Arabidopsis thaliana: one gene and its partners. The protein of the gene in region 1 interacts with the protein of each later gene in a pairwise test. Each region holds a gene or a part of one and is shown on either strand. Other genes may lie near its edges.

Evidence for each region. The genes of interacting proteins can lie anywhere in the genome.
Region 2: the proteins of IAA28 (region 1) and CXIP2 interact in binary tests that used the Arabidopsis thaliana proteins (3 or more experiments, as listed by UniProt).
Region 3: the proteins of IAA28 (region 1) and MP interact in a two-hybrid assay, tested with the Arabidopsis thaliana proteins (3 studies listed by BioGRID, with this or other methods).

What each region holds. Positions count from the first base shown.
Region 1 is NC_003076.8:9,031,599-9,035,643, reverse strand, and holds IAA28 (indole-3-acetic acid inducible 28), read right to left. Parts: upstream 2,441-4,045; 5' UTR 2,165-2,440; coding exon 2,037-2,164; intron 1,846-2,036; coding exon 1,534-1,845; intron 1,271-1,533; coding exon 1,206-1,270; intron 1,113-1,205; coding exon 1,090-1,112; 3' UTR 504-1,089; downstream 1-503. UniProt on the Arabidopsis thaliana protein: Aux/IAA proteins are short-lived transcriptional factors that function as repressors of early auxin response genes at low auxin concentrations.
Region 2 is NC_003071.7:16,030,653-16,034,955, forward strand, and holds CXIP2 (CAX-interacting protein 2), read right to left. Parts: upstream 2,518-4,303; 5' UTR 2,403-2,517; coding exon 2,022-2,402; intron 1,196-2,021; coding exon 695-1,195; 3' UTR 533-694; downstream 1-532. Other genes in the region: FAC1 (AMP deaminase, putative / myoadenylate deaminase), read right to left, coding at 3,115-3,183, 3,267-3,365, 3,458-3,538, 3,762-3,935, 4,009-4,119, 4,201-4,254. UniProt on the Arabidopsis thaliana protein: May only reduce GSH-thiol disulfides, but not protein disulfides. Participates probably to the maturation of iron-sulfur proteins and to the regulation of the redox state of the BOLA proteins.
Region 3 is NC_003070.9:6,884,699-6,891,936, reverse strand, and holds MP (Transcriptional factor B3 family protein / auxin-responsive factor AUX/IAA-like protein), read right to left. Parts: upstream 5,269-7,238; 5' UTR 4,585-5,268; coding exon 4,452-4,584; intron 4,302-4,451; coding exon 4,186-4,301; intron 4,078-4,185; coding exon 3,979-4,077; intron 3,889-3,978; coding exon 3,832-3,888; intron 3,744-3,831; coding exon 3,588-3,743; intron 3,509-3,587; coding exon 3,424-3,508; intron 3,348-3,423; coding exon 3,257-3,347; intron 3,161-3,256; coding exon 2,996-3,160; intron 2,914-2,995; coding exon 2,791-2,913; intron 2,706-2,790; coding exon 2,494-2,705; intron 2,415-2,493; coding exon 1,261-2,414; intron 1,169-1,260; coding exon 978-1,168; intron 882-977; coding exon 755-881; 3' UTR 533-754; downstream 1-532. Other genes in the region: AT1G19860 (Zinc finger C-x8-C-x5-C-x3-H type family protein), read left to right, coding at 1-283. UniProt on the Arabidopsis thaliana protein: Auxin response factors (ARFs) are transcriptional factors that bind specifically to the DNA sequence 5'-TGTCTC-3' found in the auxin-responsive promoter elements (AuxREs). Seems to act as transcriptional activator.

The sequences.
Region 1 (4,045 bases):
GAAAGTTGTGAGACACAAAATTTATAGGAGAATTTTTAAATTTTAAATTTTATTTACTAATTTTAAATTCATTATTTCTTTTAAAATAATGTTTTTTTACCTATCTCGACATAATTGAGTTTTTCTTTGGATCATCAATTAGTAGAGGTAATCGGACCATTTTCCAAGTTGGATTAACGGGTCAGCGAATGTTCAACCTCTGATAGACTGATACTATGTTAAGTTTCATAGATTACTAATTCCAAAACCAATTGACAATAAGTAAAAACTCATATAAATATATATATATATATATATATATATATATATTTATATTAATGAAGTCTAAAGTCGTTTTCACCATCTGAGTTCGAGTAGTATTAGCCACCAAAATTTAAGTAATTTAACATGGTTTTTCCATACTCCATAATCAATTTTTGGGTGTATGAAATTTTTAAAATTATATGAGTTATAAAAAAATAAAGTATCTTTCTCCCTACTATCTTTACTCTAAATACTATTTTAAGATATTACTCGAGTTAATTACATGTTATACCGAAATAATTCATGAACATAACAAGATTACAGTTCATGAAATAAATGGTTTGTCTTTTGTGAAATAAACAATTGGTACTCATGTGTGTTACAAAACAACAATTTTTTTTGGATGGTGTTATAAAACTCGAACCCACCAAACTTGGATAGCCTCTTGTATCTATTTCTCTATTATTTCGGGTAATCTTTACTCATACATAGTAAACAGGCTCTCTGGATTTTTACCTCTCTGAAAAAAACATAAAATGAGTCGGTTTGATTTCGCTAATTAAATACCATTTTCCCTACTAAAAAACGAAACGAAGGCATGAATCATATCAGGCATTGTAATCAACTTACGTGCTTACACTATTTTTATACACACGATAACATACTAACCCCCGATTTCTTAAACGAACAGCATATTTACAACCAAAACAAGAAATAACATAGCAAGCAAAAACCTAGTACATAAGTGAAAAAGAAAACCAGTAAATCAAAGCCAAACCCCATTAGTTTCCACAAAAATTACATTAAAAACAAACCATCGAACTGATGATTTTGGCCAACCTCTCTCTATTCCTTGCCATGTTTTCTAGCTGTGAAAAAATAAATAAATATATAAGTTAATTTCAAGGCAGTAATTAAGTGATGAGATGTATGAAAAAGTTTCGTAAGAATTGTAATCTTACGTGAGAGTGAGAAGGCGTGGGAGGTCTTTAAAACATGCAACCTCTTTACAGTAGATACAAACATCCTAACAAATAAAGTAAACTATATCATTAATATGTCCAATGATTCAAATTATTATCAGATAAATATCCAAAAATATGACCTTTAAAGGAAAATAATAATCTGATGAGAAATGGCCAAACTCTTTTTAGGAACTCATACTAAAAATATTTGTTAAATTCGACAAAAACAAAAGTAGATAGATATAAAATGAATTTTTGATAAAGTAAGTTCATATTCAGTTCCAGAAAAAAAAATGGAATTAGTTTTGTTTGATTTAAAACTTACTCCCAAGGAACATCCCCGACCAGAACTTTATCTCCTTCAGTGTCTTCGTAGACCAAAGTGTATTGTCTGTTTAGATCCCACGAATCTTTCTTAGAGAAGAGTTGGTCAACGGCATGTGAAAGCTGTTGGTAGTTGTTATAAGCTGAAAGGTTGACTTTTCTTCCTATTGGAACTCCTTCCATGTTGATCTTAACGTACAATTCCTTCTCTTCATCACTCTCCTTCTTCTTCATCTCCTCCTTTAGTTGTGCCGTTAGGTTTCTCCGGGATGATCTCACCGGCGGCCATCCCACCACTGGAGCTACCTCAACCCTGTTTTAGCCATATCTAGTTATAACATATACACAAATACTTTTTGATAACTAGATACCGAAACCCAAACTAATCTCCGAAAACTGTAGAATTACCAGGATTTTGTTTTTTATTTTTATTTTATTATCATATAAGACATCTACAATGAACAAGAATGATTCAAATCATTCATGAGAAGAGATTAAGAGAACCTGTTATTGGAAAGGAATGATGTTTCTTTGGTCGAGCTTTTTTGTTTAGATCCATTGATGTTGTTGTTGGAAGTGAATTGGTGACAAGGAGGAGCTAGCCTTAGCTCCAATCTCTTTTCTTCTTCCATTTTTCTAAGTTTGTGTTGTGTTTTTGGTGTTGGGGAGTATTATTATATGGGTGGTTGGCAAGGAACTACAATCCCAATCTTTTTATAAAAGTAGTCTCTTTATATTTTCTAATGAAAAGAGATTTTATTTTGAATTAATAACCACCTAACAGATCCTACTTGTATGGTTTCCGTATGTCAAAAATGCGTTTACATACGTGTATGATTCTACGAATGTGATGCGGATTGATGGGAGACACACATATATTATTTACAACGATTACTATTATATAAAGAGAATAAATTTATATGATGATCATTAGAAAAATCCAATAGACTAATTTAGAGTTATAGGTAGGTGGTTATCAAATTAAAAACCCACTTAGAATATATGGTAACATGGTTCATAGCCGTGTGGGGTCTCATACTACCGAATAACTCTGATTAATTACAAAACATATGATTCCAAAAATCTTAGATGTAATCACCAAATTATTACGCTGTCTAGACGTGTCCATTATCATTCTAATTCGATCCAAAAAGATGTGGGTAACCGAAAATTACCAAAGAACTAAAATGCTACCATAGCACCAAAGTCAAAATGAATATCCAACACATACACATAAACCAATTTAAACAAAGAGATATATAAATAACAGTGATTAGTAATACCCCTTTATTAGCTAGTGACATGAATTAAAATCATATTGAAAAATGAAAATGAATGCTATTCTTACTTAGAAAATGAAAACTATAATCATATAAACTATGTACAATTGCTTCTCTTATGCATGACATTTGTAACACATGTATTTTAGAAAATTCATGTATGTCACCGTGACTCATGAGACAAAGAAATGTATCATGCATGGTTGTGTCATCATGTGATCATCAACATAGTCATCATATGATCATCTCCACACCCATTCTTGGAGAGTAGAGGCCGACATAGAAAAGGAAACAAGAAAGAGGAAAGAGATTCCTAGGCATGCTTAAATGAGTACCTACCAATAAAAGGAGTAAAGTAGTAGGTTTTCGTTTACTAACCTTCTTCTGTTTATTTTTATTTGATATATAAGTACTGCAAATATTAATTGTATGTATACTTAGAATTCCACTACAAATTCTCTCTTTTTTCACGAAAAGTCCACTACCAACTTGGTTTTTGTTACTCTAATTTGGCCTCCATAATGTTTGTCCTTTTTTTCAAGTTACATAATCGATTGATTTACGGAAATTGCCAACCCATGAAAAGTCATCTTAAACATAATCAAGTATAACTTTAGAAATATATCAAGATGGTTTAAGGATCTTTCAACTCAATCTTAAAAAAACTTAATAGCTATGGCATATAATCAAATAAGCTGTAATTTGATTAGTGAAAATAACTAAAATGGGTCAACGCTCAAAATACTACAAATAAAACTGTTGAAATAGACACATAAAATTTGTGGCTATTTCACAGTTTCTTATAGTTGAATTGGTTTATACTTATCTTGTGTCTTTTGTCTAGAAATTTGTGGCAATCTAGAAATTCTCTTTTGTCTTTTGACCTTTTTTCATGGGTCATCACCTATTTGTTTTATTCTTTTTAACTCGGGGCAAAACAATTTCTTCAGCCGATTTATATTAATTAACCGAGAGTCCGAGACCAATATACCATGACTAATCATCACACTAATAATGACAGAGCTTATAGTGTAATTTTTACTTGATTCTGACCCTGCACATACGTGTATATAAATATAATGGAATACATTTTTAGTTAAAAATATTATAGTGTATAAATTATAATATGCATAGAACAGTGTACAGTGTTAATTATGATAAAATAGCTAACTTTTTTTATTAATTTATATTATTTATATTTTATTTATATTTTGCATGGTAAATATATTGTTA
Region 2 (4,303 bases), on another chromosome or scaffold:
TATTTTACAGTCTGACTTATATTTTTTTATTGTTTTGTTTTTATGTAATCGAATTTTTGAGACCGTTGACTTGTTGTTTTATTTGTTCATTTAATTTTTTTCAGTTTCCAAAAAAAAAATAAAAAGAAAATACAACCCATAAACTAACCTCGTCATCATCATATTTTTCAATTTTCATGAACGTTTGTTACTCATATAAGTTGTAACAAATGAATACCATAGAATATTTGTGTTATTTTTGAGATATTCATCCTACAAATGAGAATTTAGTACTTAAAATGAATATTTTGTGTTAGTTCACCCAAAGATTATGTCAAAGAAGAACAATAATTCTCTAATAAACGTGCTACAAGAATAAGAATGCTACTAAATTAATCAATTAAATCATTTAACGTAACAATAGTTACTTAACTCCATTTCCAATTATGTTTTGTTTCAACATATATATTTAAAGGGACAATTAGTGTAAAAAAAAAAAAAAAAAAATCATTGGTTAAATGACCACAAAATAGGTGAATTTAGTGGATGGTTATGCGTTTTAAACCTACTCTTAGATTTGTATAGAATCTGTAACCTTTTATAAATGCGGAAAACAGAAAACGAATCTGTAACTATGGAAGAGAATCCAAGCATGTTTTCTCTATAATGAATGTTTGGAGTTACAACTAGAAATAGAGAAGAAAATCGGATGAAACTAGTTCAAGATATTGGCAAGTTCACCATTTTCATACATTGAGGTCAAAATATCACATCCTCCTACAAGTTCTCCTTTCACAAATATCTGTGGAAACGTTGGCCAATTGCTGTAGTTCTTAAGCGTCTCCCTTAGCCCATGATTATACTCATCGTCAAGAACATCAACAGTTTCATAATCAACTCCTTGGCTTTCAAGAATCCCAACAACTCTCTGTGAGAATCCACATTGAGGAGCACTCCTTGATCCTTTTATGAAAGCTACCACTTTGCTCTCTTTCACTAAACGGTCAATCAGTTCCTCCAAAGGAACCGTGAGCTCAACATGGCGACCTGGAGTGAGACGGATATCGGATTTCTTCCTCGGAGTTTGTTTGACAAATGTGTTGTTCCCTGACTTATTCCCCGGCGGAACTTTTCCAGTTACTTTTATATGTTCTTCTATCCATAATTTCCATGCTTGTGTTAAAACTGCTTTATCTGGTTCTTCTACTATTCCAACCTAGCAAAACAATGATGAAATCAGTTATGGAAGATATATCAACAATACCAAAACTTGTCAATATCCATCACATGAGCATAAACAAAGTCCTATTGAGTCAATGGAGCAAATAAACACTAAAATAATCATAACATAAGTAAATCATAAGCAAAATATAAGCAATAAGTGACAAATAAATGATAGAAAGAGGAAAAATGTAAATTCTTAAGATAATAATACAACCCATAAAAATGTAAATTTCTCAAGAGCAATCTTTAGATTTGACTGTTGTAAGCTGATACAGTTAAGGATCATGGACACAAAAAAAACAAAAGCTCTTGTTATTAATTAAAAGAACCTGACACAGAATGGTAATCAAAATGCCAAAGAGAATCAGTTCTCTCCATTGGTACAAAACCGATATACCTCTCAAACCTCGACAAATCTCGCCAATGCGCACTGTCCTGTATCTATAGAGTAGAATTTCCCTAAAAAACTAATCAAAAGAAAATGCTAAAAAAACAAGTCCTAACTCCTAAGTAACATATACAAAATGAACTATTGATGCATCTCCTAATCATAATGTGTGGTAAGTGTTGTTAAAAGAACTCTTACCAACAACAGAACCAAGAACTTCATTAGCTCTAGTTTTGCAAACAATAGTGATCCTAATGATATGAAATACTATCTCTGGAACTAAAGTGATGAACTTTTGTAGTATTCATTTACCAAAACACTTCCCAAATCTATGAACAGTAATAAACAAAAGTCAACCACAACAAAACAAAGAATCCTTCGTTATAGTAACAGACATGCTACTCCTCTATATGAAATCATGGATAAGTACCTTAACGGAGCCACAAAGCTCCGGCACAGATTTGAGATGAGCAGAGACACTCGCAGCGATGTTCCGAGAAATTCCGACGAACTGAAGCTCGTCGCTCTTATCGTATACAGCGTATACACCGGAAGCGGACGGGATTGAATCAGCCTCTGTGATTGGAAGCAGCTCCGTCTCCGTTAGAGATTTGACGGCGGAGGCGATAAAGAAGGAACGACGACGAGACGGAGCTGTGTCACGGAGTGTGAAGGAGAGAGATGGGAAGGAGAAGGATGGTGTGAAGCGTGAATAGAGGGTGATCACAGGGGTATTTCGAGAAACATGTGGACGAACAACACGCGGAGAGGCTGAGGCGTGCAAGGAGGAAGAAATGGTGATTGCAGCCATTTTTGTCGGAGCTGAGAAAAGTTATCGGTGGAAAATGATGAGCTCTTTTATTTGACATAGGATTTTATCCATTGGGCCTGAATTGGACTGTTATTAAGGCCTTATGATACTTGGGTTTTAAATACCATAATTCGGAAAAGTGGGACCCGCTTTAGTTTCTTTTTTCTTACACATTCCATACTTCAGTCTGTTATGAAACAAAAGGAACATTTGTCTAGTTCACTTCATGATCAAGCCAAATCTACCAATGTGACCCAAAAACATGTGTTTAATCCGGTAAACAGATCTCAGTATGGTTTAAAACAGAACCAAAACAAACAAACAAAATTGGATTTCGAACATAATGCTATTTCTGATTAAAAATTGAATCTGAATCCAAGTTAAAACAGTATGTAATCCAAAAACTGAAATCCATTATATTAAAACCGGTTCTCAACTGGTCTCTTTGTATCTCATTATCTAAAAAGCTTTATAAAACAATAAGATTTTGGCACAGCCTAATCGCTTTCTCAGGGCACAGAGCCACTCATATTATTACCCTATCTACTAGGTTCCTGCTTTCGTATACTTCTCAAAATGCTCTCTTTGTTCCCCTGCAATCTGAAATTCAATCATTGACATCATAAGAAAATGTTGTAACAGAAGTGATAAGATCATTGAGTTGTTACATACATGTTGGATTCTTACGTCTTGCCATTTCTGATTGTGGTTTTTATGGAACAACTTCATCAGAGATAACAGCCTTGCCCAGATAAACCTGTTGCATCTCCTCTTTCCAGATCTGCATCAACTTCATATTTTTAATTTGTTTTCCTACAAAGAGAAATTAACTTGTGTGAAGAATAAATATATTTCATTCCATACCGTGTCACGGAACTCCACCCTTATGTGTGGCACGTTTGTTTTGTGAATGTCGTTTCCATCAGGTCCTCTTTTGTAGTAATCTTTTCCAATCCAGTGCGACTGGAACATCTCAACAAGTTAGTATTATTAGTAGATCGGAACAGAGACATCTTGTTCATTCATACTATGGGCCATGTTGATATAACAAGTACCTTCAGGGCGTGTGAGAAACCTGACTGGTACACTGAGTTACGAGCTATCTCGCACAGGTCACACGCACTCAGCTTCCAAACCTGAAAAATCCAGTTATCATCTTCAGTTAATACATAAATATAACTAAAACCTAGAAGAAAAGGATGTATAGAGAGAAATTTCATTGTTCTTCGTGTTTGCAATTGCAGAAGATCAGTATAAATCATTTAAAGGTAATAACTAATAAGACTTTTAAAAATATAATCAACTTTTCAAGGCCTATGATGTGTGGCAAGACTGCATAATGGAAAGATTATGACTTACTGATGCAGCTATGCTATACTCTTCCACGAGAGGTTCTTTAGTTAAGTGAATCTGAAGGGGGTCATCAGTAGACAGAGAAACATTGAGACCTCTTAAGAAAAACACAGGAAACGGGTTCCGGTGGTAATCTAGAAACAAAGAGTTGTTGCTCAGTGGTGACATGGCCAGACCAATCTGTCAAAAGAAATGTCTTCTTAGAACAGAAACAATAATACATATGTAATACATGCAGGCAGTCTCCACAAACCTGGGCGAGGTAGTACAGATACTGAAGCACAGGAGACTTTCGCAGATTGATTCCATGTGCGATGCTATGGCATGTTAGAAACGTAGCAGCCAAGTGGTCAATGTCACCAGCCTGAAATTTGTAGACATGTTAAAATTCCACTGAACTGTAACTGAAAACTGTTTATCTAGCACAAAGGAAGAAATAACACACCTCTCCAGAATGTGGTCGTAGCGTGATAGTAGTCATGCCCTTTGACTCTCGAAGCTGAAGAAAAATAGTTACTCCATATTACACAGTTTTGAGAACACCAAGT
Region 3 (7,238 bases), on another chromosome or scaffold:
GCCGCCAGTTCAACATCTCGGTTATCGATACAACCTCCAACCTGGAGGAGGACCTAACCCGGAGATGGTAAATAGCAGTAATAATAACCAGAGGCCAAGGGATTCAAAACCCAAGATAATGAAGGCTTGCATGTACTTCAACAGCGCAAGGGGTTGTCGCCATGGAGCTAATTGTATGTACCAGCACGATGCTACACCCTACCAGCCGAGGAATCTAAACAATGGTAATATCAACACTTCTGATATGCAGAATGCAAAAAGAATGAGATTTGACAGAGACTGATGCAGAATTAGCATACCACACATGCTCTCTGCCTCTTGCTGTTAGCAGCAGAGCAATTTTTCTATTTTCTCTTGCCTGGCTTTACTGCAATATAAGTTTTATATACATTTGAAATTATTTCTTGGTTTTATGCCACAAATGTAGAATTAATTAGCGAGTATTATTTGGCTCACCATCACAGTAGTACTTATACTATCCCTAGTGTTTTTAAGATGATTTTCTACACTTTTATCTTTAACATTGTGCAGAAAAAAGAGTAAAATAATCACAAGATTTCTAAGACTGTCTCAACTACTGATTCATTCATCACTCTACTACATAATATGAATATAGTTTCAGGTCTCAAATCGGAACAACACATCAAATGCTTACAACAAGATGGTTTCTCCTCTACCAGTTGGAGAAAAGAACATTTCTTACTCTCTTTTTTTTCTTACAAATCAGCATGAGATCATTTTTATATTGTTACATTTATGAAACAGAAGTCTTAAGATCGTTAATGCCTGCGCTGTTCAAAAGCTTCATCCCTTCTTCACTCATCTGCTGGACCTCAGTTGGCGACAATATCCTTATGCACCTTACGCATCCCACAAACTCTCTGCACCAGTTTATGTAGTTATGTAAGGAAAACTATTGTAAGACTGATAGTCAGATGAAGTTAATGGATTCACAGAACAGTGAGAGAGAGACTTACTCCCATGGATCATCTCCTACAAGCAGAACATCACTCTCATAATCAACATATACAAGCTTCCAACCCGAGCTTTGTGGGTGAGTTAGTAGTCCTTCCAATCCAAACATGCATTCGATAGCAGATTTTAGCTCCTCGTAGTCTTTAAAGCTTGTGACATCAATTGATCTCCCGACTGACCCGGTTTTTTGAACCTGCCAAGTCAAAACATTACCCAAACCCCAAAGTTTCATGTCAGATTGTGACACAAGAAATTTGTGGAATGAATGAGAGATAATCTTTTTACCTTAGTGTAGGTTCGGACGCGGGGTGTCGCAATTTTCTGCCATGATGAGCCTTTACTATTTTGCCGCAGACTACAATCATCAAAATCAACATTGCTTGAAGATGTACCAGTGCCTCCAGAATTATCTGGAAAATCTTGGCGAGAGAAGGCCTGTGAGTCTGCAAAGCTAGCTGATGTGATCTGCGACTGGACATCTTGAGCAAAGCTAGTGTTGTTGTTTCCAACCAAACAACCAGAAGGGTGGTTCTGGAAATCAGTGTCTTTGATGGCACAGAAGTCATCAAGGACTGTGTTTGAGAGTGGAGGATCTAGAATGTTACTGGTTGTGCTATTACTCATACAGATATTCTGACTAGCATAAAGGTCCTGCTGCATCAAGGGACTGAACTGGTCAAACTTGAGACCGTTCAACTGAGTGTCCCACACATCATGAAACAGCGGTGAGTTTGTGGAATCCGGTAACACAACAGCTGAAGAATCCTGGGAGGATAGAATGAATGGTTGCTTGTATGATCCGGCAAGAGACTGGAAGGAAGAGACTTGTGATGTCAGCTCATCAGTTTCCAGGAAAGAGAATCCATTTATTGGATCAGACTGTGGTTGGTAAATCTGATGAGTAATGTCAAGACATTGATCAGCTTGTACAGGCGACGAAGCACCCGGTTTCTGAAGTAGCTGATTAACCTTTTCCTCATTACACACTGTGGATGTAGTAACCTGGCTTGCCTGTTCCATTGACTGCTCAAGTCCATGTTGGACTCTACCAGAGCTGCAACCAGAGAGTGTAGAGTTCTCAGGTTTAGCAGGAGCACTCATACTCTGTGAAAGATTCTGTTCTTGGCCACTCGTATTAGAAGCAGATGGGTTCACTGTTAGCTTGTTTTGTGGCTGCACCATCTCAGATTTCTGGTTCATCATCAGGGGTTGCTGCATCTTCATATCTCCTAGCAAACCTCCATTCCCCATTACAATATTCTGCTGCATCTCAGACATGAAAGATGGTACATTTTGGTTGTTGTGAGGCCTCATCATCATTTTCATAAGCTGCTCCGAAGCCATACTAGGGAAAGATGCATATGGCATAATCCCATTCGCGGAATCAGGAACACGTATAAGTGGCCGTTTTATCAAGCTACCCCATTCAGTTTCACCAGCTGCATATTTCATAACAAAACTTTAAGGCAGCAAATCTCATGTAAAGTTCACAACAAGGCACACTTATATTTTACTCACCAAAGTAAGATGGATGGAGCTGACGTTTGAGTCCTGAGGTCAGAGAAGGAAAAATGAAGAGACTTTCAGGTGTTTCGATATCCCATGGACTGACCCGAGTAGGTTTATCATTACATCCAGGCTCATCCCATTCTACCTGAAGGTTACGCCACTTAGAACCAGGCCATCTCAACGGATCCAAATCGCTGATTCCAACAATAGTTCCCATGTACCTAAATACACAACCAAAACGTGTATAAGTGAACAACCAAATTTGATAAACAAAAACAGAAAGATTGCAGTTTACGGATAACTTACCTTCGTTTCCCGGAATCTTCAGTTTCAAACATCATTCCAAATCTCATACCAACTGAGAGCTGAGACCCGCATATCGCCTTACGGTACTTAGCTAGAGGGATCACGAACTCTGCTGGACAAGCTCTGAGAACAAACACCATAAGTTACGTTACAACTAAGAAAATAGTTTTATATCATTGAGGATTGAAGAAGCTTTTGAGCTAACCTTGGATTATAGAATATCAAAAAAGGAGTACGGTTGGCGGTTGCGTGAGCAGCAGCAGCAAGAACACCGATGTGCATACTATCCGCTGAGAGAACTGATGAAGGAAGTGCTGTTTGTTGGCGATTGGCACGCCTAACACCGACCATAAGTTGTGACTTCTCATCCCTTTTGGCACATTTTCAAAGGACAAATGACAGTCAGAAGATAAGCAACACCAAAATGAGTCAGAGCCAAAATATCTCAATAGCCAAGGTTTTTCACCTGATGAACAAAACAGAATCCCCAGCTCTCAATCTCTTCGATCCAACGAACAAACTCCATCCTGTAGTTAGGAGATGTCTCTTTGGTTGCCCTGAGAATGTAAGCAGGAACTGAGCTCAATACCAACTCAATCTAAACAGAGAAAGAGACAAATCTAGTGGTTATACCTCGGTAGATATGGCGAAATGTCCAAGTATTCTCATGAAGATCTCGAACTACAAGCTCTTGCGTTGGCGGCTGTGCTGAGTAGTCCTGCAATGTATTTAACATAACATTAGCAGGCTAGCAGCAGTTAAAGCAATAGGAACATATGAGGAAAAGAGAAGCTCACCAATGGTGGAAATAGCTTCTCTGCAGCTCTACGTGGCACTGAGAAACCTCCATGTGTGCTTGTGTCACTTGCAGTAAGTGTTTTGCAGAAAAACTCAGTCGGGTGCTTACTTCCTCTCAGCATTCCAAAGTCTGGTACAGGGAACACATCTCTCTCCTGATGCACACAAACCATTCAAACTCATTCAACTTCAACATGAGTTCTTAAATGAAACAAAAGGAAGTTGCAAGAATCCAAAACTTACAGAGTGAACAGGTTGAAGACTCATCTGAGCATAGATTTCGTCACTGTCTTTGTCAGCCTATCAAAGGGGAACAAAACCATTGTCAAGAAATATCAAACTTGGTTGCAATTTGTTTGGATACGAAGCAAATGAGAAAGATTGGCGTACATGAAGAGTAACATTATGGACTTGACACATCAACTGAGATGGAAGGTTCGGATAATTAGGAACTTGTGTTGTTGCTGATCTTCTGGTTGAAACAGCAACCTAATAAGTCAAAAAGTGAACAAAAAAAATCAAACCTTTTGAACAGGAGCTAACAAGATCTAGAGAAGTACAATGTGTTTGTTTGTTCTTTAAGACACACAAAGTTACCTGCTCGCTATGACCTTGTGAGAAGTAATACACTAAGCTCCCAACTTGAGGGAGACACACCAAAGGGCCTGCACAAGCGTGCCATAGCTCCGAGTTTATTACCGGCTTTCTTGTACCTGAAAAATGTTCAAAATCGCATTTTTAGGGGAAAGTAACAAAATTTCTAAATGTCATTAGCATAAATTATGAAACCTTTTGTTATCACAGTTTATTCTTAAAAAGGTAACTTTTTTAATAAAAATCTTGAGAAAGAAGAAGATGAAAACCTGACTGGTCTTTCAACAGCTTCATCTCTTCAAGCAAGGTAGATTGAGATGTTGTTGTTGTTATAGTTCCTCCACCATTAACCAAACAACTTGTTTTCATCTTGTCTTCAACACAAGACAATGAAGCCATCATACAGAGAGATTTTTCAATGTTCTGTTTTGTCTCTCCCACACTCAACACTAACTAGGCTTTAGCAAGACTCAAGAGTTTTTCTTTTTCTTTACTAAGTCTTCATTTTATTTTATTTAATACAAGAAGAGACAAAAAGAGCTCTATTGAGCAAAGAGGCTACAAGAAGATAAATCCAGGACAAACCAGAGGAATTAAAGACAAAGCCATTTCATGGAATCTGTTTTTTTTTGGTTAAAGAAGACTCCAAAATCGAAGGACAAAACCCTTACACATGACAAAAACAGAGTGGGAGAGATTAAAGAACATACAAAATAGGGACTACACAGACAAGCATGTCTCTCTTGTGGGGCTCTTGCCTCTTCTCTTTCTCTCTCTCCACTCTTCTTTTCTCAGACCAAATTCGACCCTTCAATGAAGAAGAGAAACCAAAGGTGCCATCATGAAACCACACAGTTTCTTTCTTTGGTTCCGGATGCAAACAAGAACAAGAAGCAATTGAGAGAGAGACAAAAGCTTTTAAGAAAAAAAAAACTTTTGCTTTCTTTTAATTATTTCTCTGAAAAATCCCACATTTTTTCTTCTTCTCTCTCTAATGTATATGAGTATTAGTATAAATGTGTATGTATAGGTTTTATTTTGCTTGGAAATGGGAAAGAGTGTGCATGCTCTTATCCTGCGCTTAAAACTTTCTGTATATGGCGATGCCGTTGCAGCTTTAGACTCTTTAAACGAATAATATTATATTTTATTGTTTCCCATTAATTATAAAATAAAGTTTTGGTATTTCAATAGATACATCTATATTATTATTTAATGTTTTAGAACAGTTTACGTCAAAAATTTAATAAAGTAGAGTAAGCACACGTAATCTCTGATACGCACAGAAACGTAGTTGAATGTACAAGTACTTTCAATGCTTATGTTATAAGGCAGATAATAAAGCTTAAAATAAGTACCATGAGTGAATATTATTTTAAAAAGTGTCCTACTTTTTCAAGAACTTTGTAAAATATAAAATGTTTTTTGATTATGGCAATAAATTAAAATTGATTAAGAACTTTATGACAAAGGAGGAGGCTTCTTTTTTCGTTGCAATAATATATACTTTTCTCAAAATGTTAATCTTTTCTTGCTGAGATTTCGTAAAAGGGATGTGAGTGGTGAGACTTTGGGAGATCTCTAATACAAGGTGCGTATGATAGGAGAGAATGTCAAAATAGCGTATATTAGCACGAAGCCTAAAGAGGTTACGGGAGGAAGTGTATCTTCCAATCTTTTTTGCCCGGGTGTTCTTTTCCTTTCCAAGTTAAGGACTTCAAAAATGTTTTCTTTCTTTGGTTAGAAAAAGTTATTTTGATATTTGCAAGATTTGGTATAGAGATTAAAAAAGATTTAAGTATGGTTTAGTTAAAACTTAAAAGTTATAAGGTGGTATTGTTTATATATACTTAAGAGTTAAGACCACCTCCAAATAAATTGAAAGGACTGTTGTTTGTGGTTCTTGCATTTGTATTGAAATTGAGCTTTGTAAAATATATTTGTATCTACAACAACCAAAAGAAAGGAATATCTTGGTTCTCTGCACCTGTAAACATAGCTTGTTCTGCTCATTATTAATATCTAATACTCTAAACCACATGTGTAATTATGTCTAATTGTGTATAGTGTGTACCATTACATCTTTAGACCTTTTTAGTTACATACATTTTTTTTTTTTACGCACACATCTCTAGTTTGACCTTTCCATTGTTTTCTTGCGACGAAATAATTGACATGCGGTCATTGTATTATATTGTATGATATGAAACCATATCACTTTCCATATCATTACTTATCAATCATACGTAAATAAAAATCGCTTTCCTTCATGTAATATTACTCATAAACAAAATACAAATGAGCATAGTTAAGTTATATATAGGATTAGTACACAATCCACATTATCACATATTAGAGAAAAATAATCAAACATATTATAATTTATAAGTGGATATATAGTAGCATCATTATGATAGAATATCTATATAAACATAACTACTTATTCGGATACGCGTTTGTCACTAAGATATATTTGAATCAAAGGATCTCCAATCAAGTATATAATGTGTGGAATTTGCTGTTGGCAGCACATTTTAATATACAGTTCAAATTTAGCAAGGAGTGAAACATGCTTTTGATGATAATGGAAAAACTCTCATTTCCGGTGCCAAGATTGTGTGCCATCAGCAAAATCTTTGGAACAAATAGTCATTACGTATAACGAGGAATAACATCCCACGATGAGGTTTACTAGATATAATTTTATCATTCTTATCAATTGTTTTCTCTTGTATCGTTTTTTTTTTTCTCTACTGTATATCATTTGTGACAATGCCTTCAATAATCCTAAATTCATAAAAATAAAAACTCTTACCATACCAAATTTTAACCACATGCAAAGAAAAGGATACCAATCAAAATCAAGTGTATGCAGATTATCAATCCGAATCCTTCCTAAACGTTAGTTTGTCTTATGTAGATTGGAAACTTGTAAAAAAACAAGAATAAGAAATGAAGAAAGAAAAAAAGAAAGTGAAAAGCATTATTTGGTGCTTTTGCGTCTGAAAATTTTGACCGCTAGGCACGCGTGAAGTGGACGGCAAATCAATGGTTGA